Struthio camelus: one gene and its partner. The protein of the gene in region 1 interacts with the protein of each later gene in a pairwise test. Links are inferred from orthologs where the notes say so. Each region holds a gene or a part of one and is shown in the gene's direction. Other genes may lie near its edges. The genes, in order: ALDOA and ENO3.

Region 1 (15,357 bases):
CGTCGTAGATGAAGTAGGGCACCGCGAACTCCGGGTAGGCGCCCGCCAGCCAGTGCCTGCGCCGGGAGAGGGACCCAGGTGTCCGGGGAGGGACCCAGGTGTCCGGGGAGGGACCCAGGCGTCCGGGAGGGACCCAGGCATCCGGGAAGGACCCAGGAGTCCGGGCAGGGACCCAGGTGTCCGGGCAGGACTGAGGCATCCGCATCCACTACCCTGGTTTTACTCAACCCATTGGAGCTCTCCAAAGGGGCCCAGGCATCCGGGCGCTGCCCCTTGCCCCCCACCCCCACCCCAAGGGGCCCAGATGTCCGGGCGCTGCCCCTTCCCCCCCACCCCCACCCCAAGGGGCCCAGGCGTCCAGGCGCGCCGGGCTAATCCCCCACCCCCACCCCGCCCGCCAAGGGCAAAGCCTAGAGAGAGGGCCCAGGCGTCCGGCTCTCCCCTCCCCCAGCCCCAAGGGACCCAGGCGTCCGGGCGCTGCCCTCCTCCGCCCCCCCCCCCCCCGCTTCGCTCGGAAGGGCCCAGGCGTCCAGGCGCTGCCCTCCTCCCTCCCCCCCCAACCTCGGGCTCAGAAGGGCCCAGGCGTCCGGGCGCGCCAGGCTAATCCCCATCTGCTCAGTGGCTAATCCCCGCCAAGGGCAGAGCCGAGAGGGCCCAGGCGTCCGGGCGCTGCCTCTCCCCCCCCCAACCTCGGGCTCAGAAGGGCCCAGGCATCCGGGTGCTGCCCCTCCCCCACCCTGCTCAGAAAAGGGCCCAGGCGTCCGGGCGCTGTCCAGTGCTGAAGGGCGGCCGGCGCCGGGAAGGGAGGGGACGGGGACCCTGTGGGTGCCCTTGGGGGTCCCCAGGGGCCATGTGGGTGCTGTGGGGTGGGTGTAGGGGCACCGTGGGGCAGGGTGGCACCCACGGGTCACGGTGGCACCCACAGTTTGGGGTAGCACCTATGGGTCATGGTGGCACCCACGAGTTGTGGTGACCCCCATGGGCCACGGTGGCACCCATGGGCCATGGTGACACCCACAGTTTGGGGTGACCCCCATGGGTCACGGTGGCACCCATGAGTCATGGTGGCACCTATGGGTCATGGTGGCACCCACGAGTTGTGGTGACCCCCATGGACCACGGTGGCACCCATGGGCCATGGTGACACCCACAGTTTGGGGTGACCCCCATGGGTCACGGTGGCACCCATGAGTCATGGTGGCACCTATGGGTCATGGTGGCACCCACGAGTTGTGGTGATCCCCATGGGTCACGGTGGCGCCCATGGGCCATGGTGGCACCTATGGGTCATGGTGGCACCCACGAGTTGTGGTGATCCCCATGGGTCACGGTGGCACCCATGGGCCATGGCGATACCCACAGTTTGGGGTGGCACCTATGGGTCACGGTGGCACCCATGGGCCATGGTGGCACCCACAGTTCGAGGTGACATCCATGCGTCATGGTGGCACCCATGGCTTGTGGTGGCATCCATGGGCCACGGTGGCACCCGTTGGTCATGATGCCACCCACGGGGCATGGTGGCACCCACAGGCTATGGTGACACCCACGGGTTGTGGTGGCACCTATGAGTCACAGTGGCACCTATGGGCCATGGTGACACCCACGGGTCGTGGTGGCACCCATGGGTCATGATGGCACCCACGGGTGCCCAGGCCAGGCCGTACTCACTGGTCATCGATGACATGGTGGCAGGAGCTGGAGATGATGTATCCGGCCGTGGTGGCCATGATGGCCTGCACCGAGGACACCAGCCTGGGGGGGGGGGGGACACGGGGACGTCAAGGGACATCGAGGGACGGGGACGTTGGGGACATGAGGGGACGGGGCCCTGAGCGGGTGGCAGCCACCCCTGCGGCCACCCCCCGCTGCCACTTGTCCCCAGCCCTGTCCCCAAGCTGCTGCCATCCCTGTCCCCACGGTCCTCGCGGTGTCCCCGTCCCCACGTTGTCTCCACAATGTCCCCGGCTGTCTCCATGTTGTCCCCATGCCATCCCTGTCCCTGTCCCCTCGCTGTCCCCATTCCCCCGTGTCCCCATCCCTGTCACTGTCCCCTCATTGTCCTTGTTCCCTCATTGTCCCCGTCCCCACAGTGTCCCCAGCCCTGTCCCCGTCCCCTCATTGTCCCCACACCGTCCCCCTCCCCAGTGTCCCCATCCCGGTCGCTGTCCCGTCACCGTCCCCACGACGTCCCCGTCCCCATAGTGTCCCCAACCCCTCATTGTCCCCATCCCCATCCCCTCATTGTCCTCTCGTTGTCTCCGTCCCCACGGTGCCCCTGTCCCTGTCCCCTTGTTGTCCCCACGCTGTCCCCGTCCCCTTGTTGTTTCTGTCCCCTCCTTGTCCCCTTGTTGTCCCCATGCCGTGTGTGTCCCTGTCCCCGTCCCCTCAGTGTCCCCTTGTTGTCCCCGTCCCCTCACTGTCCCCCCAGTGTCCTCTCCTTGTCCCCATCCCCTCCCCATCCCACTGTTGTCCCTGTCCCCTCAGTGTCCCTGCCCTCAGTGTCCCCCCACCCCCTCAGTGTCCCCTGTGTCCCCTCCCCATCTCCTCAGTGTCCCCACACCGTCCCCGTCTCCTCAGTGTCCCCTCAGTGTCCCCACCCTCTCCCCCTGCCCTCATTGTCCCCCCTGTCCCCTCAGTGTCCCCACACTGTCCCCATCCCCTCAGTCTCCCCTCACTGTCCCCATCCCCTCCCCGCCCTCCCCGTCCCCTCAGTGTCCCCTCAATGTCCTCACATTGTCCCCATCACCCTGTTGCCCCCTCAGTGTCCCCTCAGTGTCCGCCCGTGTCCCCATCCCTCCACCCCCCCGTTGTCCCCTCAGTGTCCCCACACTGTCCTCATCTCCCATCCCCTCCCCGTCCCCCCAGTGTCCCCATCCCTTCCCCCATCCCCACCCCGTCCCCTCAGGGTCCCCACACCGTCCCTGTCCCCTCAGTGTCCTCTCAGTGTCCCCATCCCCCTGTTGTCCCCTCAGCGTCCCCCCCATGCCCTCAGTGTCCCCACACTGTCCCCGTCCCCCCTCCCCTCCCCGCAGTGTCCCCTCAGTGTCCCCCTCCCCCGTCCCATCAGTGTCCCCTCAGTGTCCCCTCAGTGTCCCCTCAGTGTCCCCATCCCCTCCCCCATCCCCACACTGTTCCCATCCCCCCCCAGTGTCCCCACACTGTCCCCGTCCCCTCAGTGTCCCAATCGCCCCCTCAGTGTCCCAATCGCCCCGTTGTCCCCTCAGTGTCCCCATCCCCCCTCAGTGTCCCCTCAGTGTCCCCATCCCCTCCCCCATCCCCACACTGTCCCCATCCCCCCCCAGTGTCCCCACACTGTCCTCGTCCCCTCAGTGACCCAATCGCCCCGTTGTCCCCTCAGTGTCCCCCTCCCCCGTCCCCTCAGTGTCCCCTCAGTGTCCCCTCAGTCCCCCCATCCCCTCCCCCGTCCCCTCAGTCCCCCCCTCCCCCCGTTGTCCCCTCAGTGTCCCCATCCCCTCCCCCCTCCCCTCAGTGTCCCCTCAGTGTCCCCATCCCCTCCCCCCCTCAGTGTCCCCTCAGTGTCCCCCTCCCCCCTCCCCTCAGTGTCCCCTCAGTGTCCCCCATCCCCTCCCCCCTCCCCTCAGTGTCCCCTCAGTGTCCCCATCCCCTCCCCCGTCCCCTCAGTGTCCCCCCATCCCCTCAGTGTCCCCCTCCCCCATCCCCTCAGTGTCCCCTCAGTGTCCCCATCCCCTCCCCCCCTCAGTGTCCCCTCAGTGTCCCCATCCCCTCCCCCGTCCCCTCAGTGTCCCCTCAGTGTCCCCCTCCCCCTCCCCCCATCCCCTCAGTGTCCCCTCAGTGTCCCCCTCCCCCTCCCCCCATCCCCTCAGTGTCCCCTCAGTGTCCCCCTCCCCCCTCCCCTCAGTGTCCCCTCAGTGTCCCCTCAGTGTCCCCCTCCCCCATCCCCTCAGTGTCCCCCTCCCCCCCTCCCCTCAGTGCCCCCCCGTCCCCTCCTCGCCCCCCCCCCACCCCGGTACCGGGCGGCGACGATGACGGCGTCGGGCTCGGGCCAGCGCAGCCCCGGCAGCCGCCGCAGCCCGGCCCGGGCCGCCAGGAAGAGCCCGGGGAAGAAGACGAAGCCGCCGGCCAGCAGGGCACCCGGGGGGGCCGCCATGAGCGGGGGGGGGCGGGGGGCGGGGGGGGGCACAGGGACCTGCCCGGCCCGGCCCGGCCCGCCGGCCCCGCCGGGAGCGACGCTGGGGGCGGGGCCTGAGGGGGGCGGGGCAACAGAGGGGGCGGGGTCTGAGGGGGGCACAGGGACCTGCCCGGCCCGCCGGCCCCGCCGGGAGCGACGCTGGGGGCGGGGCCTGAGGGGGGCGGGGCTTGAGGGGGCGGGGTCTGAGGGGGGGCACAGGGACCTGCCCGGCCCGGCCCGGCCCGCCGGCCCCGCCGGGAGCGACGCTGGGGGCGGGGCCTGAGGGGGGCGGGGCTTGAGGGGGCGGGGTCTGAGGGGGGCACAGGGACCTGCCCGGCCCGGCCCGGCCCGCCGGCCCCGCCGGGAGCGACGCTGGGGGCGGGGCCTGAGGGGGGCGGGGTCTGAGGGGGCGGGGTCTGAGGAGGGGCACAGGGACCTGCCCGGCCCGCCGGCCCCGCCGGGAGCGATGGTGGGGGCGGGGCCTGAGGGGGGCGGGGCCTGAGGGGGGCGGGGTCTGAGGGGGGTGGGGTCTGAGGGGGGCACAGGGACCTGCCCGGCTCGGCCCGGCCCGCCGGCCCCGCCGGGAGCGACGCTGGGGGCGGGGCCTGAGGGGGGCGGGGTCTGAAGGGGGCGGGGTCTGAGGGGGGGCACAGGGACCTGCCCGGCCCGCCGGCCCCGCCGGGAGCGACGCTGGGGGCGGGGCCTGAGGGGGGCGGGGTCTGAGGGGGCGGGGTCTGAGGGGGGCACAGGGACCTGCCCGGCCCGCCGGCCCCGCCGGGAGCGACGCTGGGGGCGGGGCCTGAGGGGGGCGGGGCCTGAGGGGGCGGGGCCTGAGGGGGGGGGCACAGGGACCTGCCCGGCCCGCCGGCCCCGCCGGGAGCGATGGTGGGGGCGGGGCCTGAGGGGGGTGGGGCCTGAGGGGGGGGCACAGGGACCTGCCCGGCCCGCCGACCCCGCCGGGAGCGATGCTGGGGGCGGGGCCTGAGGGGGGCGGGGCCTGAGGGGGGGCACAGGGACCTGCCCGGCCCGGCCCGGCCCGCCGGGAGCGACGCTGGGGGCGGGGCCTGAGGGGGGCGGGGTCTGAAGGGGGCGGGGTCTGAAGGGGGGCACAGGGACCTGCCCGGCCCGGCTCCGCCCTGCCGGAAGCAATGCTGGGGGGGGTCTGAATGGGGGCGGGGCCTGAGGGGGGCGGAGTCACAGGGGGATGCAGGGACCTGCCTGGCCCTGCCGGGAGTGATGCTGGCGGCGGGGCCATGGGGCGGGGTCACAGGGGGTGGGGCCTAAGGGGGCGGGGGGCTACCTGGCCCGGCCCGGCCCTGCCTTGGGGGTGACCCTGGGGGCGGGGCCTAAAGGGGGCGGGGCCTAAAGGGGGCGGGGCGTGAGGGCAGCCCAGGGAGGGGGCACCATTCTGGTGGGGGGGGGGAGCTAGCCCCACTGGGAGGGATGTGGGGGTGGGGCTACGGTGGGAGGAGCGAAGTGGGGGCGGGCCTTGGGGGAAAGTGTTGAGGGGCGGGGCCTCCAGGGGGAGGGATGTGGGGCGGGGCTAAAGGGAAAGGAGGGGGGGTGCCCTGCTTCCCACTCCCCCCTTCCAAAATGGCAAGGAGAAGGGACCCGGGCGTCCTGCCACTCCCCCCCAACAGCGTTCCCAGGCCCCGCCCCCGCCCCTCCCCACGGGAAACCCTCATTTGCATATATTTGCATATCACTTGTAGGCCCCTCCCCACTGGGAGGGGGCAGGTTGGGGGGAGGAGCTGAGCCAGACCCTCTGCGTGCATGCAGCCAGCACGCCATCGCACCTAGACGTATTTGCACATATTTGCATAAATTTGCAAACATTTGCATACATTTGTGTACATTTGCCTACATTTGTGCGCGCCCCTCCCCCTCGAGGGCGCCGCGCGTTGTCCGAGCAACGGCCGCCGCCGAGCCGGGTGGCGCTCGGCGCATGCGCCGCCCGCCACCCGCCAGCGCCCCTCCCTATTGGCCGCGGCCGGCAGCCAATGGGAGGCGGCGGGACGCGGCGCGTTGCCAGGCAGAGTCTCGGCGCGCCGCGCTGAAAGGGCGGCTCCGATTGGCGCCGGGGCCAGCGCCTGAGGCGAAGGCGCCACCGCGCCGCGCGCCTCGCTGATTGGCCCCGCCGGGAGTGTCCCCACTCTGTGGGCAACGCCCCTCTCCACCCCCGGCCAATAGGAAGGCGCGAGGCGGCGTTTCCATGGCACCCGCACCGCCTCCCGCTTCCGGGTGGCTACCTCAGCACCGCCTCGCTGGAGCGCGCGCCGGGTGGGGGGGGGGAGGTGTTGCCGCAGCAACCGCGCATGCGCGTCAGAGGGTCATTAGTATTCATGAAGGGCACCGCGACTACATGAATATTTATGAGGAAGGCGGGGCCTTGCTGAGTGGCGGGGTGGGCGGGGCTCCCGGACAGGGTGATTTGCATACAACAGCCCTTCATGCGGAAGGGTGGGTGCAGGGCTCATGAATATTGATGAGGACATGTCATAAATTATTAATGAGGGAGATGCAGCTCTTCTCCCACGTGACTGTGGGAAATAGCCCCTCCCATTGCCATGGAAACTGAGGCCTATTCGGTTGCCATGGAGACTGTCAGCCCAGGGGGGGGAGGAGCTGTCCTGTCGCCATGGAGATTGTCAGTCAGCTCGGGGGGGGGGTTCTACCCTGTCACCATGGCGACTGTTACAGTGGTTGGGGGGGTGTCCTACTGCCATCACCATGGAAACCACAACCTTCCTGGTTGCCATGGAAACTGTCAGTCTGCTGGGGGGGCACTACCCTGTCGCCGTGGCGACTGTCACAGTGGTCTGAGGCCTACCCCCGTTGCCATGGAAACCGGGACCTACCCCCCCCCACCATCGCCACACACATTGGGGAGGGCTCCCCCCACCTACCTGGTTGCCATGGCAACCACCACCGTGCACCTACCCCCCCCAGGTCGCCACGGCGACCGCCTCCCCCCCCCCTCAAAACCAGGCCCTCGCGGCCTGGCCCGTTTCCACGGTTACCCGGAGCCTGCCGGCAGTTTGGGGGGGGCCAGGCCCCTCCCCGGCGCCCAGGCCAGGGGCCGGCGGGGGCGGGGGGGGCTATTTTTAGCCCCCGAAAAGGCCAGGGGTCGGCGGAAAGGTCGCCGGGGGGGGGGGAGGCCCTAGATAAGGGGCGGCGCTGGGGGGCCGGGGGGCAGCGGGACCCGGCGCTGCCCCACGGTGAGTCGGGGGGTCCCTGCGGCCCCCTGGGGTGGGGGGGATACCCCCCCGTGCCCTAAATAACCCCCCTGACACCCCAAATACCCCCCTGACACCCCCCTGGGCAGCTCTATAACCCCCCCCAGCACCCTAAATACCCCCCCGGCACCCCCATATCCCCCTCAACACCCCAAATACCCCCCTGACACCCCAAATACCCCCCTGACACCCCCCTGGGCAGCTCTATACCCCCCCAGCACCCTAAATACCCCCCCTGGCACCCCCATATCCCCCTCAACACCCCAAATACCCCCCTGGCACCCCAAATGCCCCCCTGGCACCCCCCCCGGCAGCCCTATACCCCCCCTGGCACCCCAAATGCCCCCCCGGCACCTCTCTCAGCACCCCCAAATACCCCCCCCGACACCCCCCTGGGCAGTCCTATACCCCCCTGGCACCCCAAATACCCCCCTGACACCCCCCCCGGCACCCCAAATACCCTCCAGGGCTCCCCCAAATGCCCACCCAGGATCACATATACCCCCCTAGACCCCCCGCAAATACTCCGTGGGACCCCCTAAATACCCACCCAGGACCCTATATGTCCTCCTAGACCCCCCAAATACTCCCTCAGCACCCCAAATACCCTCCCTGACCCCCCCAAATATCCCCTGAGACCCCCAAATTCCCCTCTGGAATGCCAACTACCACCCAGGACCCCATATACTCCCCTAGACCCCCTCAAATAACCCCCTGTGACCCCCCAAATACCCACCCAGGACCCCAAATACTCACCCAGGACCCCATACGCTCCTGTAGACCCCCCCCAAATAACCCCCAGGACCCCCCCAAATACCCACCCAGGACCCCAAATATCCCCAAATAACCCCCCTAGACCCCCCAAATTCCCCCCCAGGACCCCAAATACACCCCTAGACCCCCCCCAAATAACCCCAGGACCCCCAAATCCCCCCCAGGACCCCAAATACCCATCCAGGACCCCAAATACCCCCTTAGACCCCCCCAAATAACCCCCAGGACCCCCCAAATACCCACCGAGGACCCCAAATGCCCCCCAGACCTCCCAAATAACCCCTGGGACCCCCAAATACCCACCCAGGACCCCCTATTACCCCCAGACTCCCCCCAAATAACCCCCGAGACCCCCAAATCCCCCCCAGGACCCCAAATACCCACCTAGGACCCCCCTAAACCCCCAAATAACCCCTGGGGCCCCCAAATCCCCCCCAGGACCCCAAATACCCACCTAGGACCCCCCTTAAACCCCCCCAAATAACCCCTGGGACCCCCAAATCCCCCCCAGGACCCCAAATACCCACCTAGGACCCCCCTAAACCCCCAAATAACCCCCGGGACCCCCCCCAATTCCCCCCCGGGACCCCAATCCCCCCCGTCCCCCCCCCCCGCGCGGTGACTCAGCGCTCGGCGGCGCGGCCCCTTTAAGCGCCCCCCTCGCCCCTCCCGCCGCTTCCTCTGACGTCACAGCCCCCCCCCCGCACCGCACGCGCGCGCCGCAGCCTCGGCGCGAGACCAGGTGGGGCCCGGGGGGGGGGGCGGCAGGTTTTGGGGCGAAAAAGTCGGGTTTTGGGGCCAAACGTGTGGAGATTGGGGGAGGGGGTGGGTTTTGGGGCCAAACGTGTGGAGATTGGGGGCTGGGGGCGGGTTTTGGGGCTAAACGTGTGGAGATTGGGGGCTGGGGGGTGGATTTTGGGGCTAAACGTGTGGAGATTGGGGGCTGGGGGCGGGTTTTGGGGCTAAAAGTGTGGAGATTGGGGGAGGTGGGTGGGTTTTGGGGCAGAAAATGTAGATTTTGGGCTTGGGGGAAGACTTGAGGGCAGATTTGGGGGCTGGGGGCAGATTTGGGGCTGAAAAGGTAGCTTTAGGGGGCTGGGGGGCAAATAGGGGACTGTGGGGGCAGATTTTGGGGCTGGAAAGAGATTTTGGGGTGGAGGAGCAGATTTTTGGGGTGGGGGAGCAGATTTTGGGGCTGTGGGGGCACATTTTGGGATGAAGGAGCAGATTTTTGGGGCTGTGGGGGTAGATTTTGGGGTGCAGGAGCAGATTTTTGGGGCTAGCATGGCAGATTTTGGGGTGGGGGGGCAGATTTAGGGGGGGAAGAGCAGGTTTTGGGGCTGGAAAGGCAGATTTTGGGGCTGTGGGGAGCAGATTGAGGGAGGCCCCGCTCTGCCTCATGCAGGGGGAGGAGGAAGGGGGGCCCTGCCCGGACGCCTGGGCCCTTCCTGCTGCCCTTGAGACGCCCTTGGGGCTCCGTCCCGGACGCCTGGGTCCCTCCCCTCCCCCCAAATTCCCCCCCCCCAACCCGGATGCCTGGGACACCTTGGTCCCTTCCCCCCCCCCAATTCCCCCCCCCCAACTCGGACGCCTGGGTCCCGCCCCTGACTGCACCCAGAGCCCTACCCGGACGCCTGGGTCCCCTCCCCGCCCGCGGTGACTTCCCCAACCCGGACGCCTGGGTCCCATTTCCCCTTCGCAGCCGCTGCCGCCCGGACGCCTGGGTCCGTCTACCCCCCCCCCCCCAAATCCGGGCGCCTGGGTCCCTCTTCCCCCCCCCCCAAACCCGGACACCTGGGTCCCTCTTCCCCCCCCCCCCAAACCCGGACGCCTGGGTCCCTCTTCCCCCCCCCCCCCAAACCCGGACGCCTGGGTCCCTCTTCCCCCCCCCCCCAACCCCAGACGCCTGGGTCCCTCTTCCCCCCCCCCCCCCAAACCCGGACGCCTGGGTCCCTCTTCCCCCCCCCCCCCAACCCCGGACGCCTGGGTCCCTCTCCCCCCCCCCCAAACCCGGACGCCTGGGTCCCTCTCCCCGCCCCCCCCAAACCCGGACGCCTGGGTCCCTCTCCCCTTCCCCCCCAAATCCGGGCGCCTGGGTCCGTCTACCCCCCCCCCCCCCAAATCCGGGCGCCTGGGTCCCTCTTCCCCCCCCCCCAAACCCGGACGCCTGGGTCCCTCTTCCCCCCCCCCCAAACCCGGACGCCTGGGTCGCTCTTCCCCCCCCCCCCCCCAAACCCGGACGCCTGGGTCCCTCTTCCCCCCCCCCCCCAAACCCGGACGCCTGGGTCCCTCTTCCCCCCCCCCCCCAAACCCGGACGCCTGGGTCCCTCTTCCCCCCCCCCCCCCAAACCCGGACGCCTGGGTCCCTCTTCCCCCCCAACCCCAGACGCCTGGGTCCCTCTTCCCCCCCCCCCCAACCCCGGACGCCTGGGTCCCTCTTCCCCCCCCCCCCAACCCCGGACGCCTGGGTCCCTCTTCCCCCCCCCCCAACCCCAGACGCCTGGGTCCCTCTTTCCCCCCCCCCCCAACCCCAGACGCCTGGGTCCCTCTTTCCCCCCCCCCCCAACCCGGACGCCTGGGTCCCTCTTTCCCCCCCCCCCCAAACCCAGACGCCTGGGTCCCTCTTCCCCCCCCCCCCCCCAAACCCGGACGCCTGGGTCCCTCTCCCCTTCCCCCCCCAACCCGGACGCCTGGGTCCCTCTCCCCTTCCCCCCCCAACCCGGACGCCTGGGTCCCTCTCCCCTTCCCCCCCCAACCCGGACGCCTGGGTCCCTCTCCCCCCCCCCCCCAACCCGGACGCCTGGGTCCCTCTCCCCCCCCCCCCCCAACCCGGACGCCTGGGTCCCTCTCCCCCCCCCCCCAACCCGGACGCCTGGGTCCCTCTCCCCGCCCCCCCAAACCCGGACGCCTGGGTCCCTCTCCCCTTCCCCCCCAACCTGGACGCCTGGGTCCCTCTCCCCTTCCCCCCCCCCAAACCCAGACGCCTGGGTCCCTCTTCCCCCCCCCCCCAAACCCGGACGCCTGGGTCCCTCTTCCCCCCCCCCCCCAAACCCGGACGCCTGGGTCCCTCTTCCCCCCCCCCCCCAAACCCGGACGCCTGGGTCCCTCTTCCCCCCCCCCCCCCAAACCCGGACGCCTGGGTCCCTCTTCCCCCCCCCCCCCCAAACCCGGACGCCTGGGTCCCTCTCCCCTTCCCCCCCCCAAACCCGGACGCCTGGGTCCCTCTCCCCTTCCCCCCCAAACCCGGACGCCTGGGTCCCTCTCCCCTTCCCCCCCAACCCGGACGCCTGGGTCCCTCTCCCCTTCCCCCCCCAACCCGGACGCCTGGGTCCCTCTCCCCTTCCCCCCCCAACCCGGACGCCTGGGTCCCTCTCCCCTTCCCCCCCAACCCGGACGCCTGGGTCCCTCTCCCCTTCCCCCCCCAACCCGGACGCCTGGGTCCCTCTCCCCGCCCCCCCCCAAACCCGGACGCCTGGGTCCCTCTCCCCGCCCCCCCCCAAACCCGGACGCCTGGGTCCCTCTCCCCTTCCCCCCCAACCCGGACGCCTGGGTCCCTCTCCCCTTCCCCCCCCAACCCGGACGCCTGGGTCCCTCTCCCCTTCCCCCCCCAACCCGGACGCCTGGGTCCCTCTCCCCTTCCCCCCCAACCCGGACGCCTGGGTCCCTCTCCCCGCCCCCCCCCAAACCCGGACGCCTGGGTCCCTCTCCCCGCCCCCCCCCAAACCCGGACGCCTGGGTCCCTCTCCCCGCCCCCCCCCAAACCCGGACGCCTGGGTCCCTCTCCCCGCCCCCCCCCAAACCCGGACGCCTGGGTCCCTCTCCCCTTCCCCCCCCAAACCCGGACGCCTGGGTCCCTCTCCCCTTCCCCCCCCAAACCCGGACGCCTGGGTCCCTCTCCCCTTCCCCCCCCAAACCCGGACGCCTGGGTCCCTCTCCCCTTCCCCCCCCAAACCCGGACGCCTGGGTCCCTCTCCCCCCCCCCAAACCCGGACGCCTGGGTCCCTCTCCCCTTCCCCCCCCAACCCGGACGCCTGGGTCCCTCTTCCCTTCCCCCCCCTAACCCGGACGCCTGGGTCCCTTTAACCCCTCCCCGGACCCCATGGGCAGGGGAGTGTGGGGCGTTTCCCCGGACGCCTGGGCCCGTGGGGTGATGCGGGGTGTGATTCCCCGGACGCCTGGGCCCCGTGCCCGGACGCCGGGGTCCCCGCTGAGCCCCCCCCCCCTTTCCCCGCAGCCGCCGCCACCATGCCGCACCAGTACCCGGCGCTGACGCCCGAGCAGAAGAAGGAGCTCGCCGACATCGCCCTGCGCATCGTCGCCCCCGGCAAGGGCATCCTCGCCGCCGATGAGTCCACCGGTGCGGCGCTGGGAGCACTGGGAGGGGAGCGGGGGGCACTGGGAGGGGATTGGGGGGCACCAGGTGGCGCTGGGAGGCACTGGGAGGGGACTGGGGGGTTCCCAGGTGGCACTGGGGGGCACTAGGGTGAGATCAGGGGCACTGGGGAGCACTGGGAGAAGATTGGGGGGCACTAGGTGGTGCTGGGAGGGGACTGGGAGGTGCTGGGAGGGGACTGGGGGCTCTCAGGTGGCACTGGGGGGCACTAGGGTGAGATCAGGGGCACTAGGGAGCACTGGGAGAAGATTAGGGGGCACTAGGTGGTGCTGGGAGGGGACTGGGAGGCACTGGGAGGGGACTGGGGGCTCTCAGGTGGCACTGGGGGGCACTAGGGTGAGATCAGGGGCACTGGGGAGCACTGGGAAAAGAGCAGGGAGGCTGTGGGAGTGAATTGAGGGGCACTGGGTGACACTGGAAAGGGATTGGGGGGCACTAGGTGACACTGGGAGAGGAGTTGGGGCATTGGGAGGGGATCGGGAGGCAGTGGGTGACACTGGGGGAGGGACTGGGAGCACTGGGAGGAGATCGGGGCACTGGGAGGGATCGGGAGGCAGTGGGTGATGCTGGGAGGGAATGGGGTGACATTAGGTGATACTGGGGAGGACTGGGAGGTCTTGGGAGGGGATTGGGGGCACTGGGTGGGACTGGAAGTTGCTGGTGGAAGACTAGGAGGTTACTGGGGAGAACTACAAAAGCATTAGGAGGCACTGGGTGACGCTGGGAGGGCACTGGGTGACCCCAGGTGAGACCAGGAGGAGCCCAGGTGGCCCCAGGTGAGTCTGGGAGCACTGGGAGCCCCACAACCCCTGGCATCCCTGGTGCAACGGGAGCGTGGGTGCCACCAGGGTGCCCATGGGTGACCGCAGGTGACGCTGGGTGACCCCAGGGTGCCACTGGGGGTTACAGGGTGACCCCAGGTGAGACTGGGAGGCCCTGGGAGCACTGGGAGCCCCACAACCCCTGGCAACCCTGGTGCAACGGGAGCGTGGGTGCCACCAGGGTGCCCATGGGTGACTGCAGGTGACGCTGGGTGACCCCAGGGTGCCACTGGGGGTTACAGGGTGGCCCCAGGTGAAATCAGGAGGCCCTGGGAGCCCCACAACCCCTGGCAACCCTGGTGCAACAGGAGCGTGGGTGCCACCAGGGTGCCCATGGGTGACTACAGGCGACAGTGGGAGAGCCCAGGTGCCACTGGGGGTTTCTAGGTGGCCGCAGGTGGCCACCAGGTGGCCCCAGGTGAGACCGGGAGGCCCTGAGAGCGCTGGGAGCCCCACAACCCCTGGCAACCCTGGTGCAACGGGAGCGTGGGTGCCACCAGGGTGCCCATGGGTGACTGCAGGTGACGCTGGGTGACCCCAGGGTGCCACTGGGGGTTACAGGGTGGCCCCAGGTGAAATCAGGAGGCCCTGGGAGCCCCACAACCCCTGGCAACCCTGGTGCAACAGGAGCGTGGGTGCCACCAGGGTGCCCATGGGTGACTGCAGGCGACAGTGGGAGAGCCCAGGTGCCACTGGGGGTTTCTAGGTGGCCGCAGGTGGCCACCAGATGGCCCCAGGTGAGACCGGGAGGCCCTGAGAGCGCTGGGAGCCCCACAACCCCTGGCAACCCTGGTGCAACGGGAGCGTGGGTGCCACCAGGGTGCCCATGGGTGACTGCAGGTGACGCTGGGTGACCCCAGGGTGCTACTGGGGGTTTCTAGGTGGCCCCAGGTGGCCACCAGGTGGCCCCAGGTGAGACCGGGAGGCCTTGGGAGCACCGGGAGCCCCGCAAAGCCCAGCCGCCTGGGGTGGCGTGGGTGCCGCGGGCGGCCCCGGCGGGTGACGCGGGCGGCCCCGGCGCAGGCAGCATCGCCAAGCGGCTGAGCTCGGTGGGGGCGGAGAACACGGAGGAGAACCGCCGCTGGTACCGCCAGCTGCTCTTCACGGCCGACCAGCGCGTCGACCCCTGCATCGGCGGCGTCATCCTCTTCCACGAGACCCTCTACCAGAAGGCCGACGACGGGCGCCCCTTCCCCGCCGTCATCCGCGCCAAGGGCGGCCTCGTCGGCATCAAGGTGGGGACGTCGGGGGGAGGCGGAGGCGTTGGGGAGATGGGGGGAAGTTGAGGGAACGTTGAGGGACGGTGGTGGACACAGAGATGTTGAGGGGATGCAGGGACGTTGGGGAGGCGTGGAGATGTTGAGGGAACGTTGGGGCACGGTGGTGGGCGCAGAGAGGTTGAGGGGACGCAGGGGCGTTGGGGAGGCGTGGAGATGTTGAGGGAACGTTGGGGCACGGTGGTGGGCGCAGAGACGTTGAGGGGACGCAGGGACGTTGGGGAGATGTGGAGATGTTGAGGGAACGTTGGGGCACGGTGGTGGACGCAGAGAGGTTGAGGGGACGCAGGGACGTTGGGGAGATGTGGAGCCGTTGAGGGAACGTTGGGGGACGGTGGTGGACGCAGAGATGTTGAGGGGACATTGGGGAGGCGTGGAGACGTTGAGGGAACGTTGGGGCACGGTGGTGGGCACAGAAGTTGAGGGGACGCATGGACATTGGGGAGGTGTGGAGATGTTGAGGGAGCGTTGGGGGACGGTGGTGGACACACAGGTGTTGAGGGGACGCAGGGACGTTGGGGAGACACGGAGCCGTTGAGGGAACGTTGGGGGACGGTGGTGGATGCAGAGATGTTGAGGGGACGCAGGGATATTAGGGAGGCGTGGAGATGTTGAAGGAACGTTAGGGGACAGTGGTGGACACGGAGAGGTTGAGGGGGACGTAAGGACGTTGGGGAGACGTGGAGCCGTTGGGGGACGGTGG
Region 2 (14,570 bases), on another chromosome or scaffold:
GGACGTGGGGGTGGCACGAGGGGCCCAGGTGCCCGGGGCGGGCGCAGAGCGCACACAGGGGGGACGTGGGGGTGACACGAGGGGCCCAGGTGCCCGGGGCGGGCGCAGAGCGCACACGGGGGGGACGCGAGGGGCCCGGGCGGACACTCACTCTTGTTGGTGACGGTGGCGGTGATGTTGAAGGTGGGGGCGCCGGCGGCGCTCTTGGTGCGCAGGTCCATGCTGTGCTCGCCCTCCACCAGCAGCGAGTCGCGGATGACGGAGCACTTCTGCCCGCCCAGCGTCAGCCCGTTCACCAGCAGGCTGCTCCGGTCCTTCCCCACCAGCGCGTTCACCTCCGCCGCCTGCCGGGCCACGACCCCCGCCGTCAGGGACCCAGGTGTCCGGGCGGGGGGGCGTGGCCCGCCCTGACACCCCCCCGGGGACCCAGGCGTCCGGGGCAGCACCGTGAGCCGCCCTGACACCCCCCCGGGGACCCAGGCGTCCGGGGCAGCACCGTGAGCCCGCCCTGACACCCCTCTGGGGACCCAGGCGTCCGGGGCAGCACCATGAGCCCGCCCTGACACCCCCCCGGGGACCCAGGCGTCCGGGGCAGCACCGTGAGCCGCCCTGACACCCCTCCTTGGGACCCAGGCGTCCGGGGCAGCACCATGAGCCTGCCCTGACACCCCTCCTCGGGACCCAGGCGTCCGGGGCAGCACCGTGAGCCACCCTGACACCCCTCCTCGGGACCCAGGCGTCCGGGGCAGCACCGTGAGCCGCCCTGACACCCCCCCGGGGACCCAGGCGTCCGGGGCAGCACCGTGAGCCACCCTGACACCCCTCCTCAGGACCCAGGCGTCCGGGGCAGCACCGTGAGCCCGCCCTGACACCCCTCCTCGGGACCCAGGCGTCCGGGGCAGCACCGTGAGCCGCCCTGACACCCCCCCGGGGACCCAGGCGTCCGGGGCAGCACCGTGAGCCCGCCCTGACACCCCTCCTCGGGACCCAGGCGTCCGGGGCAGCACCGTGAGCCTGCCCTGACACCCCTCTGGGGACCCAGGCGTCCGGGGCAGCACCATGAGCCCGCCCTGACACCCCTCCTCGGGACCCAGGTGTCCGGGGCAGCACCGTGAGCCCGCCCTGACACCCCCCCGGGGACCCAGGCGTCCGGGGCAGCACCGTGAGCCACCCTGACACCCCTCCTCGGGACCCAGGCGTCCGGGGCAGCACCGTGAGCCCGCCCTGACACCCCTCCTCGGGACCCAGGCGTCCGGGGCAGCACCGTGAGCCGCCCTGACACCCCCCCGGGGACCCAGGCGTCCGGGGCAGCACCGTGAGCCCGCCCTGACACCCCTCCTCGGGACCCAGGCGTCCGGGGCAGCACCGTGAGCCGCCCTGACACCCCTCCTCGGGACCCAGGCGTCCGGGGCAGCACCGTGAGCCGCCCTGACACCCCCCCGGGGACCCAGGCGTCCGGGGCGCCCAAGAGCCCAGACCAGCACCAGCTCCTCCAGGGACCCAGGCGTCCGGGCGCCCGCCCCGGCACCCTCCACAGGCAGGACCCAGGCGTCCGGGGCATCCCCAGCCGCGCCGGCCCAGGCGTCCCGGACCCCACCCAACGCCCTGCCGGGGGCCCAGGCGTCCGGGAGCTCCCTCAGCCTCCGCCAGGGGCCCAGGCGCCCGGGCACCCCTCTGCCCGCCGCCCCGGGGGGCCCAGGCGCCCCCTCCCCTCCCCCACAGGAAGCCCCGGCCGCCCCTCCCCCGCCGGGGGGAAGTTGCCACATTCCGCGCATTTTTCTCAGCGGGGGGAGGGGGGAGACACCGGCGACCCCTCGGCGGGCGGGCAGAGGGCCCAGGCGTCCGGGCCCCCCCGCAGCCCCTCCGCCACGTGCTCGCCGCAGCCCGGACGCCGGGGCTCCTTCCCCAAACCGGGGGTGGCTGGGGAAGGGGAGGGGGTAAAGGGCGCCCGGGCCCCCCGCTGGAGCGGGGAAGGGGGGCGGCCCGGGCGCCTGGGCCCCCCCGCGCGGCCCGGCCGCCTGGGTCCCCTCCCCGGCGGCGGGGGGGGCCGGGCCACGCTGGCAGCGGCCGGGGCCGCTCCCGGACGCATTTTTCTCCCTTTTTTGTCCCGATTGGGGCCGGGGGGGGGAAGGGGATGGGATGGGGGGGATGGGCAGGATCCGGCCCCCCCTCCCCCCGGTCACTTCCTGCCGGCGGGGGGAGGGGCCGGGCCCGACCCCCGGCCCGGGGGGGCCGCGGCGCGGGCGGGCGGGGGGGGGGGCCGGACGCCTGGGCCGGCGGGGGGGCCCGGGGACACCCCGCGCCCCGGGACCGCCGCGGAATCGCCCCCAACGGCCGCCGCCCCCCCGCGGCGCCGCCGCCCGGGCCCCACCGTGATGTTGGCGAAGGTCTTGCCGGGGGTGGCGGCCCAGACGGCCGGCGTGTCCTTGTAGCCGACGATGGCGGCGTCCTGGCAGGTGCCGTCCGCCATGAGGCTCTCCACGTAGGGCGCCCACCCGCTCATGGCGGCGGCGGCGGCGGCGGCGGCGCGGGCCGGGCGGGCGGGGCGGGGCCGGCGGGGGCGGGGCCGGCGGCGGCGGCGGCGGCGCGTGCGCGGAGCGGGCGGCGGGCGCGAGACGGGGCCCCGCGGCGGGGCCGCGCGCCGCCTTTCATAGCCCCGCGCGGCGGGGGCGGGGCTTCCGCGGGGCGGGGCTCGCCCGCAGGGGGCGGGGCTCGCCCGCAGGGGGCGGGGCCGCCGCGGGACACGCCCCCCCCAGCCCGCCCGGCGGCGGCGGCGGCGGCGGCGGCAGAGCGACCCCGGGCAGCGGCGGGCGCTGGGCGACAGGCGCTGCCCCCCCCCCAGCACTGCCCCCCCCGGGCACTGCAACCCCCCCGGCACTGCAAACCCCCCCCCCCCCGCACTGCAACCCCCCCCGGGGCACTGCACTCCCCCCCCCCCCGGGCACTGCACTCCCCCCCCCCCCGGCGCTGCCCCCCCCCCCCCGGGCACTGCACACCCCCCCCCCCCAGCACTGCACCCACCCCCCCAGCACTGCAACCCCCCCCCCCGGGCACTGCACCCCCCCCCCCCCGGGCACTGCACAAGGGGCGCTGTATGACGGGTGCTGCACCTCAGACACTGCCCCCCCCCGACACTGCACCCCCCCCCCGGCACTGCATAATGGGCACTGCACCGCAGGCACTGCACAGCGGGTGCTGCACCCCCCCCCCGGGCACTGCACACCCAGCACTGCACCTGCTAGCGCTGCCCCCCCCAGCATTGCATCCATGTGCACTGCACACGCACAGCCCGGGTGTTGCATCCACCTGTGTTGCATCCCCGGGGCACCGTGCACGTGCACACACGTGTGCAGACACTGCGCACACACACACACACACGCACACACACACACGCACACACACACACGCGCACACACACGCGCACACACACACGCGCACACACACACGCGCACACACGCACACGCACACACAAGCGCACACGCACGCACAGATGTGCACCCCCCACCCCCCCCCGGGGATTGCACATGCAAACCAGTCAGTGCATCCCCGTGCACTGCATCCCTCCGGCGTCGCACACGCAACATCTGGGCACTGCAGCTCCCTCCCGCCCCCCCGCCCCCCTCGAGCGTTGCACGCACACGTGCGCACGCCCCCCCCCCCCCCAGCAGCCCCTCCGGGTGCGGCACCCTTGTGCTGTGTGCACCCGCGGGTGCATCGCACCCCCCGGCCTTGCAGCCGGGTGCGTTGCACCCTCCTCGTGCCGTGCAACCCGCGGGCATCACCGCGCCTTGCACGCCCCTGCACGTCGCCCCCCCCCTTGCACCCCTCCCCGGCCTCCGCACCCCCCTTTGCACGGCCCCTCCCTGCGGGTGACACCCCACGTTTCCTGCCGCCACGGCCCCCCCGGCGTCGCCCTCGGTGGCGCGTTGCACCTCTTCGCGGCCCCCTCCCCAGCTCCCTGCGCCGGGACCCCCGTGTCCGTGTCACACGCAGCCCCCCGGACATGCGTGTCCTCGTGCCAGCATGGAGCAACGCACAGGCCGTGCGGCGCCTCGGCCCCTGTGCGACACCCCCCCGGTGCAATGCAGCCCCCCGTGTGGTGCAGCCCCAGTGCAATGCAACCCCTGGTGCAACGCACCCAACTCCCGGTGCAACGCACCCCTCGTGCACTGCAACCCCTGGTGCAACGCACCCAACTCCCGGTGCAACGCACCCCTCGTGCACTGCAACCCCTGGTGCAATGCACCCAACTCCCGGTGCAACACACCCCTCGTGCACTGCAACCCCTGGTGCAACGCACCCAACTCCCGGTGCAACGCACCCCTCGTGCAATGCAACCCCTGGTGCAACGCACCCAACTCCCGGTGCAACGCACCCCTCGTGCAGTGCAACCCCTGGTGCAACGCACCCAACTCCCGGTGCAACGCACCCCTCGTGCAGTGCAACCCCTGGTGCAACGCACCCAACTCCCGGTGCAACGCACCCCTCGTGCACTGCAACCCCTGGTGCAACGCACCCAACTCCCGGTGCAACGCACCCCTCGTGCACTGCAACCCCTGGTGCAACGCACCCAATTCCCGGTGCAACGCACCCCTCGTGCACTGCAACCCCTGGTGCAACGCACCCAACTCCCGGTGCAACACACCCCTCGTGCAATGCAACCCCTGGTGCAACGCACCCAATTCCCGGTGCAACGCACCCCTCGTGCACTGCAACCCCTGGTGCAACACACCCAACTCCCGGTGCAACGCACCCCTCGTGCAATGCAACCCCTGGTGCAACGCACCCAACTCCCGGTGCAACGCACCCCTCGTGCAATGCAACCCCTGGTGCAACGCACCCAACTCCCGGTGCAACGCACCCCTCGTGCACTGCAACCCCTGGTGCAACGCACCCAACTCCCGGTGCAACGCACCCCTCGTGCACTGCAACCCCTGGTGCAACCCACCCCTCGCGCCATGAGCCCCCCAGCACAGCGCAACCCCAGAGCAAACCAACTCCTGGTGCAACGCCCCCCCCCGTGCGATGCCCCCCCGCCGCGCTCCCCGCCCCGTGCACACGCGTGTGCGATCGCACATGCATCGGCCCATATCTCCCGGCTGCTTTGAGTCAGCCCCGGGCGGGGACTTTCCGGGGGGGGGAGGGGGGGAGGGGCGGCGGTTTCACTTCCTGTCCCGGGCGGGGGAGGGGGCCGAGGCGCCGGCGCTGGGGGCAGGCGGCGTCCGGGGGACCCAGGCGTCCGGGCAGCGGGCCCTGGACCCCGCGCCTGCCTGGGGACCCAGGCGTCCGGGGGACCAGGGGGTCGGAGGCAGCCGGGCGCCTGCCCCTCCCCCCCGCTGCGAACTTCCCCCAGCAGTGTCGCCACCGCGGCCCCTCCCCCGCTCACGCCAACCCGGGGCATCATGGGAAATGGGGGGGGGGCAGGAAACCAGCTCGTCCTGGCCGAGGGACCCAGGCGTCCGGGGGCCCCTCTGCCCCCCCCCGGGGCCCAGACATCCGGGGCCCCCCCCGGGGCCCAGGCGTCCGGGGGCCCAGGCGTCCAGGGGCCCTGCCCCCCCCGGGGCCCAGGCGTCCGGGCCCGCCCCGCCCCCGCCCCGCTGTGGGAACTTCCCCGGGAAGTGGGTTTTTAGCAGCGAGCGGAGCCGGGGCCCCTCCCCCTCCCCCTGCCCTATGGGCTCCATAGGGCCCGACCCCCCCCCAACGTCCCCTATAGGCCCCACGGGGCCCATCTCCCCCCTCCCGTTTCCCCTATAGGGCCCCGGCCCCTATAGACCCCGCAGGGCCCCTCCCCTCCCCCCATCCCCTATGGATCCCATAGGACCGGTGCCATTCCCAGCACAGCCGCCAGGCGTCCCCCTCCCCCCCCCAGGGACCCAGGCGTCCGGGGGCTCCCCCCCCCCCCATCCTCCAGGGACCCAGGCGTCCGGGTGCTCCCCCCCCCCCATCCTCCAGGGACCCAGGTGTCCGGGCGCCCCCGTGCGGTGGGGCCCAGGAGTCGCCCAGGGACCCAGGCGTCCGGGCAGCCTCAACTCCAGGGGACCCAGGCGTCCGGGTACCCCCAGTCCCGGGGGGACCCAGGTGTCCGGGTGCCCCCAGCCCAAGGGGGACCCAGGCATCCGGGTGCTCCCCCCCCCACATCCTCCAGGGACCCAGGCGTCCGGGCAGCCTCGGGGGGACCCAGGCATCTGGCTGCTCCCAGCCCACGGGGGCCCAGGCGTCCGGGCGTCTCGAGTTACCGTGTCCTTTCCTCGAGCTCCGACCTTTGGGGGGGGCTAAAAATAGCCCGGGGGGGGCAGGGACCATCGCAAAGTGCCACCAGGGCCACCAGCGCCCGGACGCCTGGGCCCCCTGGGGGCTGCGAAGCCTGGTGGGGGAGGGGGGCAGCTGGGCCCCCCCGGACACCTGAACCCCCTGGGGGGGGCAGCGGGGCAGAGCGGGGGTCCCCGGACGCCTGGGCCCCCGGGGGGGCAGTCAGGCCTGGCGGGTGGGGCAGGGGCGAGCCCACCCGGACGCCTGGGCCCTGGACGCCTGGGTCCCGCGTTTGCAGATGGTCCCTGGGGGAGGCGGGGGCAGGGGATGGGCATAAAAGGCCCTCGGGGACCCCCCGGGGTCACTCGGAGCCCAACCAGCACCAGTGAGCAGCAGCGCCCGGACGCCTGGGTCCCTGTGGGGTGCCCGGACGCCTGGGACCCCCCGGATGCCTGGGACCCCTGGGGGTAGCGGGGTCTATAGTGCAGAGCGGGGCCACCCGGACGCCTGGGCCCCCCCCGGACGCCTGGGTGCCCTGAGGGCAGTGGGGTCTATAGTGCAGAGCGGGGCCACCCGGACGCCTGGGCCCCCCCCGGACGCCTGGGTGCCCTGAGGGCAGTGGGGTCTATAGTGCAGAGCGGGGCCACCCGGACACCTGGGCCCCCGGTGGGGGGGAGAAGGGCAGGGAAAGCTGGCGCTCGGACGCCTGGGCCCCCTGGTGTGGCGGGGGGCGGCGTGGCTGCGGGGGGCGCCCGGACGCCTGGGTCCCCCTGGCCCTGACGCCTGCCCCCACCCCCCCCCAGCAGCCATGTCCATCCAGAAGATCCACGCGCGGGAGATCCTCGACTCCCGCGGGAACCCCACGGTGGAGGTCGACCTGCACACGGCCAAGGGTGGGCGCCGGGGCCGGGGGGACACGGGCAGAGGTGGGGGACATGGGGGACATGGGGGGACGGGGGGGTGGGACGCAGGTAGCTGGTGGGACATGGGGGGACATAGGAGGTCCTGGGGGGACATGGGGGAATGTGGGAGGGCCTGGGGGCATGTGGGGGGGACATAGGGGGCCCATGGGGGGTTGTGGCCCCCCCCGGCTCACTCCAGCCCCCCAGGCCACTTCCGCGCTGCCGTCCCCAGCGGCGCCTCCACGGGGATCCACGAGGCCCTGGAGCTCCGCGATGGCGACAAGAGCCGCTACCTGGGCAAAGGTGAGACCCCACAGGGCCCCCCAAGACCCAGCAACCCCCCCAAGACCCAACCGAGACCCCCAAAACCCAACGATCCCCCCCAAGACCCAGCCGGGTCCTCCAAGACCCAAATGAGTCCCCCAAAGCCCGACAAACTCCTCAAAACCCAGCCGGATCCCTCAAAACCCAACTGGGTCCCCCAAGACCCAACTAGATCCCCCAAGACCCCACTGAGCCTCCCAAGACCTAACGATCCCCCCCAAGACCCCTCTGGGTGCCCCAAAACCCAACGACCTCCCCAAGACCCAACTGGATCCCTCAAAACCCAGCTGGATCCCCCCAAGACCCAATGACCTCCAAAGACCCCCTGAATCCCTGCCCTCCCTGCTCCCCTCTGCCCCCCATCTCCCTCTCCATTTGCCCCCATGGGTGGGGTGACGAGGACCCCAGGGTGGGGGCTCGCACCCCCTAACCCCCGCCGTGCCCCCAGGTGTGCTGAAGGCAGTGGAGCACATCAACAAGACCATCGGACCCGCCTTGGTGGAGAAGGTCAGTGTGGCCTGAGTGGGGGTCAGGGTGGGGGCCAGGGTGGGGAGTCCAGATCCCCCCCACCCCCTGGCTCACACTGTCCCCCCCCTTTCCCACCCCAGAAAATCAGCGTGGTGGAGCAGGAGAAGATCGACAAGCTCATGATCGAGCTGGACGGCACCGAGAACAAATGTGAGCCCAGGTCCCCTGTCCTGTCCCGGACGCCTGGGCCCCCTCCCCGCTCACCCCCCCCCTTCCCCTTCTTTGGCAGCCAAGTTTGGGGCCAACGCCATCCTGGGGGTGTCGCTGGCCGTCTGCAAGGCCGGGGCGGCCGAGAAGGGCGTCCCGCTCTACCGGCACATCGCCGACCTGGCCGGCAACGCTGACCTCATCCTGCCTGTGCCGGTGAGGGCCCCGGATGCCTGGGTCCTTCTGCGGTGGGGGGCGGTAGTGGGGAGGCTTTGGGAGGATCCCTGGGTGTTGGGATCTCCATTGAGACCTTGGGGGGGGGGGTCATTGGGTTTTGGAGGACCCAGTTGGGTCTTGGGGGATTTATTGGGTCTTGGAGGGTCTGACGGGTCTTGGGGACATCGTTGGGTCTTGGAGGAGCTGTTGGGTCTTGGGGGGGGGATCGGGGTTGGGTTTTGGAGGACTCGGTTGGGTCTTTTGGGGGGGGATCTTCATGGAGGGAGGAGAAGAGCTTCCTGGACACCTGGGACCCTCGGCGCAGGCCTTCAACGTGATCAACGGCGGCTCGCACGCGGGGAACAAGCTGGCCATGCAGGAGTTCATGATCCTGCCGGTGGGGGCGGCGTCCTTCCGGGAGGCCATGCGCATCGGCGCCGAGGTCTACCACAGCCTCAAGGGTGTCATCAAGGGCAAGTACGGCAAGGACGCCACCAACGTGGGCGACGAGGGCGGCTTCGCCCCCAACATCCTGGAGAACAACGAAGGTACCGGCCCCGGACACCTGGGCCCCTCCTGGTCCTCCCCTGCCACCCGGCCCCGGACACCTGGGTCCTCTCCGGGTCGGGAGACGGTGGAGCTACTTATAGCCCCCCGGGTTGGGTTTCCAGCCCCCTCGTTAAATGTTGCGGCCATAATTAGCCCCTGCGGCCGTAACTGGAGAAAGGCTACGAGGGCGCCAGGGGGGTCAGCAAAGGGCAGGAGGCCCCGGCCGCCTGGGTCCTCCCGGGTGGGGAGGGGCACCCGGACGCCTGGGCCCGCCCGGCCAGGGGAGCCCACGAGCCGGGGTGCCGACGGGCGGGGGAGGCCCGGGGTGCCCGGACGCCTGGGTCCTTCGGGGAAGGGTTGGGGGGGGGTCGGCCGCCCGGCCGCCTGGGTCCCTGGTGCACGGCGGGGTCCCGGCCGGGGCGCGCGGGGGCTGGCGAGCACCGGGCAGCGGTGGCTGACGCCCGCCCGCAGCGCTGGAGCTGCTGAAGGCGGCCATCGCGCAGGCCGGGTACCCGGACAAGGTGGTGATCGGCATGGACGTGGCGGCCTCCGAGTTCTGCCGCGACGGCCGCTACGACCTCGACTTCAAGTCGCCGCCCGACCCCGGGCGCCTCATCTCCGGGGAGCAGCTGGGGCAGCTCTACCAGAGCTTCATCAAGGACTACCCCGGTGCGGGCGACCGCGGGCCGGGGGAACTGGCACGGGAAGGGAAACGGTGGCTTCTCGGGTGTCTCGTACGGGGTTGTGCCTGGGGTTGCGGGGCGGGGTGGCCTCTCCCCCAGGGCTGGGGAGGGTCTGGAGGGACTGAGGGGACGGGGGGGACTGGGGAAGATTGGGAGGAATGGGGGGAACAGGGCTAGGAAGGGAAACGGTGGCTTCTCGGGTGTCTCGTACGGGGTTGTGCCTGGGGCGGGTAGGGGGAAGCGGACTCCCACTGAGGGCTGGGAGCACTGGGATGGACAGGAGGGGCCTGGGGGCGCTGGGACGGGAAGGGAGGTGGTGGATTCTCTGGTGTCTCGCGTAGGGCTGCGCGGGGCTCAGGGAAGGGGAGGGCTGGGGGCGCTGGGGGCCGGCGGCAGCGGCAGCTGAGCGGGGCCCCGCAGTGGTGTCCATCGAGGACCCCTTCGACCAGGACGACTGGGAGGGCTGGCAGCGCTTCCTGGCCCAGGTGAACATCCAGGTGGTGGGCGACGACCTGACGGTGACCAACCCCAAGCGCATCCAGCGGGCGGCCGAGCTGCACGCCTGCAACTGCCTCCTGCTCAAGGTCAACCAGATCGGCTCCGTCACCGAGTCCATCCAGGCGTGAGTGGACGCGCCCCGCGTTGCACGGTCCTTGTGCGAGCCCTCGTGCGACCCCCCGCCGTGCGACCCCTTGTGCACGGCCCTCGGGCAGGCTCCCGCGCGAGCCCTCATGTGACCCGTGCACGACACCTCGTGCGAGCCCTGGTGCGAGCCCCGTGAGTCCCTCGCGCATCCCCTCGTGCAAACCCTCGTGCGAGCCCTGGTGCGACCCCCGTGAGTCCCTCGCGCATCCCCTCGTGCAAACCCTCGTGCGAGCCCTGGTGCGACCCCCGTGAGTCCCTCGCGCATCCCCTCGTGCGAGCCCTGGTGCGACCCCCGTGAGTCCCTCGCGCATCCCCTCGTGCAAACCCTCGTGCGAGCCCTGGTGCGACCCCCGTGAGTCCCTCGCGCATCCCCTCGTGCGAGCCCTGGTGCGACCCCCGTGAGTCCCTCGCGCATCCCCTCGTGCAAACCCTCGTGCGAGCCCTGGTGCGACCCCCGTGAGTCCCTCGCGCATCCCCTCGTGCAAACCCTCGTGCAAGCCCTGGTGCGACCCCCATGAGTCCCTCGCGCATCCCCTCGTGCAAACCCTGGTGCGAGCCCCTCGTGCGCGGCAGGTGCAAGCTGGCGCAGAGCCACGGCTGGGGCGTCATGGTGAGCCACCGCTCGGGCGAGACCGAGGACACCTTCATCGCCGACCTGGTCGTGGGGCTCTGCACCGGGCAGGTCAGCGCTGCTCCCCCTCGTGTCCCCCCAGCCCGTCCCCGTCCCCCCGTGTCCCCGTCCCTCCCCACGTCCCCCCGGGGTCTCCCCATCCCCGTGTCCCCATCACCCCCATCCCCCCTCATGTCCCCCTATCCCCATGGTCCCCACCCCCCTCGTGTCCCTTGTCCCCATCCCCATGTCCCCCCATGTCCCTCCATGTCCCCCCATGTCCCCCCATGTCCCCTCATATCCCCCATGTCTCCCCATGTCCCCCATGTCCCCCATGTCCCCCCATGTCCCCCCATGTCCCCTCATGTCCCTCCATGTCCCCCCATGTCCCCTCATGTCCCCCCATGTCCCCCCAGGTCCCCTCATATCCCCCATGTCCCTCTATGTCCCCATGTCCCCCCATATCCTCCAAGTCCCCCGTCTCCCCATGTCCATGTCCCCTCATGTCCCCCCATGTCCCCTCATGTCCCCCATGTCTCCCCATATCCTCCATGTCCCTCATGTCCCCCCATGTCCCCCCATGTCCCCCCATGTCCCCTCATGTCCCCCATGTCCCCCCATATCCTCCAAGTCCCCCGTCTCCCCATGTCCATGTCCCCTCATGTCCCCCATGTCCCCCGTGTCTCCCCACATCCCCATGTCCCCTCATGTCCCCCATGTCCCCTCATGTCCCCCATGTCTCCCCACATCCCCATGTCCCCCATGTCCCCCCATGTCCCTCCATGTCTCCCCATATCCTCCATGTCCCATGTCCCCCGTCCCCCCAGATGCTCCCTGTCCCCACGGTCCCTGTCCCCCCCATGTCCCCTCCTCCCTGTCCCTGTGTCCCCCGGATGCTCCTTGTCCTCATGGTCCCCATCCCATGTCCCCGTCCCCGTCCCCCCCGTGTCCCCATGTCCCCCCAGATCAAGACGGGCGCCCCGTGCCGCTCCGAGCGCCTGGCCAAGTACAACCAGCTCATGAGGTGGGTGCCCGCAGCCCCCGCGTGTCCCCTTGTGTCCCCAGCGGTGTCCTGTCTCCTTCCCCCCGTGCCCCACGTGTCCCCCAGACCAGTCCCCACCCCTGTCCTCCCGTGTCCCCCTTGGGCACCGTCCCCCTCCCCACGTCCCTTCTGGGAACGTCCCCGTCCCCCAGGTCCGTCCTCGTCCCCCCAGGTCCGTCCTCGTCCCCACGTCACCCCACTAGAGCTGTCCTTGTCCCCATCTCACCCCGGGACCATCTCCATCCCCTGGGACCGTCCCCATCCCCTCGTCACCCCAGGAATGTCCCCGTCCCCCAGGTCCATCCTCGTCCCATCACCCCACCAGGACCGTCCTTGTCCCCACGTCACCCCCAAAACCATCTCTGTCCCCCACTGGGGCCATCCCCATCCCCACGTCCCCTCTGGCACCATCTCCATCCCCCTGGGACCATCCTTGTCCCCATGTCACCCCGCTGGGACTGTCACCGTCCCCGTCCGCCGCTCATTGCTGTCCCCAGGATCGAGGAGGCGCTGGGTGACAAGGCCACCTTCGCCGGGCGCAAGTTCAGGAATCCCCGAGCCAAGTAGGAGGGGGGTGACCGGGGCCACCGCGTCCCCCCCCGGCGCCACCGCGTCCCCCCAGGACCGAGGTCGGAGCCGCCGCGTCCCCCCGGAGCAGGAGCCGCCGCGTCCCCCCCGGCACGGCCACGACGTCCCCCCGACGTCCCCAAACCCGCTCAATAAATGACCTGGAGCACGACGGGCCCCGACTCGTTATTGGGGGCGGGGGACACGGCCAGGACTCCTGGGCCCCCTCCCCCCTCCGATGTCACCAGGACTCCTGGGCCCCCCGAGCAGACACAGGGAGACGAGTTAAAGCAGAGGCAGTTTATGTGCGCGAGCGGGAGCCCCGTCGCCCCGCGCTGCCCCCGTCCCCCCCCACCCCCCGGACTCCTGGGCCCCCCCTACGCCGAGGCGCCCCCGGCGCCGCCCTCGTCCTCCGCCTGCCGCAGCCGCTTCTTGGCCCGGATCTCGTTCATGGCCTCCTCGATGGAGCGCGTGTCCCGCTTGTTGGCCACAGGCACTGGGGGGGGGGGGGGGGGGGGACATGACGGGTGAGAGGGGGCCCAGGCGTCCGGGCCCCCCCCCAGGGGACCCAAGCGTCCGGGCTTCCTCCATCCCTCAAGAGGGCCCAGGTGTCCGAGGGTCTCCCTGGAAGGCTCCCAGGCGTCCGGGAGCCTTGGAAGAGACCTGGGCACCCCAGGGGGTCCCAGGCGTCCGGGGAGGGGGGTCCCGGGGGGCCCAGGCGTCCGGGGGCAGGACTCACCGCAGCCGTAGGCCTTGTTGGCCTCCATGGTGCGGGCGGCGGCCTTGGCGGCGGCGGTGCCGATCAGGTGCCGGTACTTGTCCTTGTAGTCGCTGAGGGGGCTCACGGGGGCGGGGCCCCGGCGGAGCTCCGCCTCCTCCTCCTGCGCTGCCAGCTCCTGGGGGCGGGGCCGTCACTGCCCCACCCCTGCAGGCCCCGCCCCCGGACCACACCCTCCTCCAGGAGCTCCGCCCCTGCCCCAGGGAATGCTGTCCCCCAAGCCCCACCCACCCTTTGCAGGCCCCTCCCCTGAGCTGGGGAGCCCCGCCCTCTGTGCCCACTGAGGCCACACCCCCACCAGCAGCAATGCTTCTGATAGGCTCTCCCTGTCCTGTGACCCCGCCCCTTTAGGCCACACCCCCAGGCCCTCTGCTGTAGCCACACCCCTGCCTGTAAGCCCCGCCTCTGCCATAAGCCCCACCCATGTTTTGCCCCCACCAGCTCCACAATGGGCTCTGCTCCCCTAGAACAAGCCCCGCCCCTCACCTCTGGCCCCACCTCCTTCCCCAGGCCCCGCCCCCTACCCGGAGGCGCCTCTTCTCCTCGGCCCGCTGCGGGTCCCACTCCTCGCCCCGGCGATAGGCTTCGAGCTCCTCGTCCGAGGGGGCGAACTCCTGCGGGGGGGCGGCCGGACGCCTGGGTCCCTGGCGGCCCGGGCGCCTGGGCCCCCCCGGACGCCTGGGCCCCCCCGCCCCGGGCCGGCACCCACCTTCTTGAAGACCATGACGTAGCGGCTCTCCTCGTCGTCGCCGAAGGAGAAGGACGTCAGGCCGGCCACCTCCACCACGTCGTGGCTGCGGGGGGGCGTCAGCCGCCGCCGGGGGGCAAAACCGCCCCGGGGGGGGACGACGACCCCCGCGGAGCCGCCCTGCCCCGGGGGAGCAGCCCCCCCGCCGCCCCCCACACCCCGCGCCGCCCCCCGCGCCCCCTCACAGGATGCTCCTCTCGATCTTGCTCATGGGCTGGAAGCGGCGCCGGGGCTCCCCGCTGGCCTGGATGAACTCGGACACCTCCTGCTCCATCTGCGGGCGGCGCTGCGTCAGGGGCCCAGGCGTCCGGGCCGGGAGGGGCCCAGGTGTTTGGGCTGGGGGGGACCCAGGCGTCCAGGCCATGGGGGACCCAAGTGTCCGGGGGGACCCAGGTGTCCGGGCCGGGAGGGGCCCAGGCGTCTGGGCCGGGAGGGACCCAGGTGTTTGGGCTGGGGGGGACCCAGGTGTCCGGGCCATGGGGGACCCAGGTGTCCGGGCCGGAGGGACCCAGGTGTCCGGGCCATGGGGGACCCAGGTGTCCGGGCCGGGGGGGCCCAGGCGTCCGGGCCGACACTCACCCT

The links.
Region 2: the proteins of ALDOA (region 1) and ENO3 interact in a two-hybrid assay, tested with the Homo sapiens proteins (2 studies listed by BioGRID and IntAct, with this or other methods). The link is inferred for Struthio camelus from reciprocal best matches to the Homo sapiens genes ALDOA and ENO3.

Annotation. Positions count from the first base shown.
Region 1 is NC_090973.1:970,468-985,824, forward strand, and holds the start of ALDOA (fructose-bisphosphate aldolase A), read left to right. Parts: upstream 1-8,871; 5' UTR 8,872-8,905; intron 8,906-9,513; exon of another isoform or gene 9,514-9,887; intron 9,888-12,397; 5' UTR 12,398-12,408; coding exon 12,409-12,520; intron 12,521-14,400; coding exon 14,401-14,612; intron 14,613-15,357. Other genes in the region: TLCD3B (ceramide synthase), read right to left, coding at 1-56, 1,672-1,730. UniProt on the Homo sapiens protein: Catalyzes the reversible conversion of beta-D-fructose 1,6-bisphosphate (FBP) into two triose phosphate and plays a key role in glycolysis and gluconeogenesis. In addition, may also function as scaffolding protein.
Region 2 is NW_027182728.1:83,587-98,156, reverse strand, and holds ENO3 (beta-enolase), read left to right. Parts: upstream 1-6,533; 5' UTR 6,534-6,576; coding exon 6,577-6,634; exon of another isoform or gene 6,635-6,697; coding exon of another isoform or gene 6,698-6,716; intron 6,717-7,052; coding exon 7,053-7,142; intron 7,143-7,358; coding exon 7,359-7,454; intron 7,455-7,923; coding exon 7,924-7,982; intron 7,983-8,083; coding exon 8,084-8,153; intron 8,154-8,232; coding exon 8,233-8,366; intron 8,367-8,691; coding exon 8,692-8,914; intron 8,915-9,386; coding exon 9,387-9,584; intron 9,585-10,018; coding exon 10,019-10,220; intron 10,221-10,816; coding exon 10,817-10,925; intron 10,926-11,818; coding exon 11,819-11,877; intron 11,878-12,392; coding exon 12,393-12,462; 3' UTR 12,463-12,633; downstream 12,634-14,570. Other genes in the region: PFN1 (profilin-1), read right to left, coding at 152-344, 2,372-2,503; SPAG7 (sperm-associated antigen 7), read right to left, coding at 12,840-12,958, 13,202-13,358, 13,765-13,854, 13,950-14,034, 14,174-14,262, 14,568-14,570. UniProt on the Homo sapiens protein: Glycolytic enzyme that catalyzes the conversion of 2-phosphoglycerate to phosphoenolpyruvate. Appears to have a function in striated muscle development and regeneration.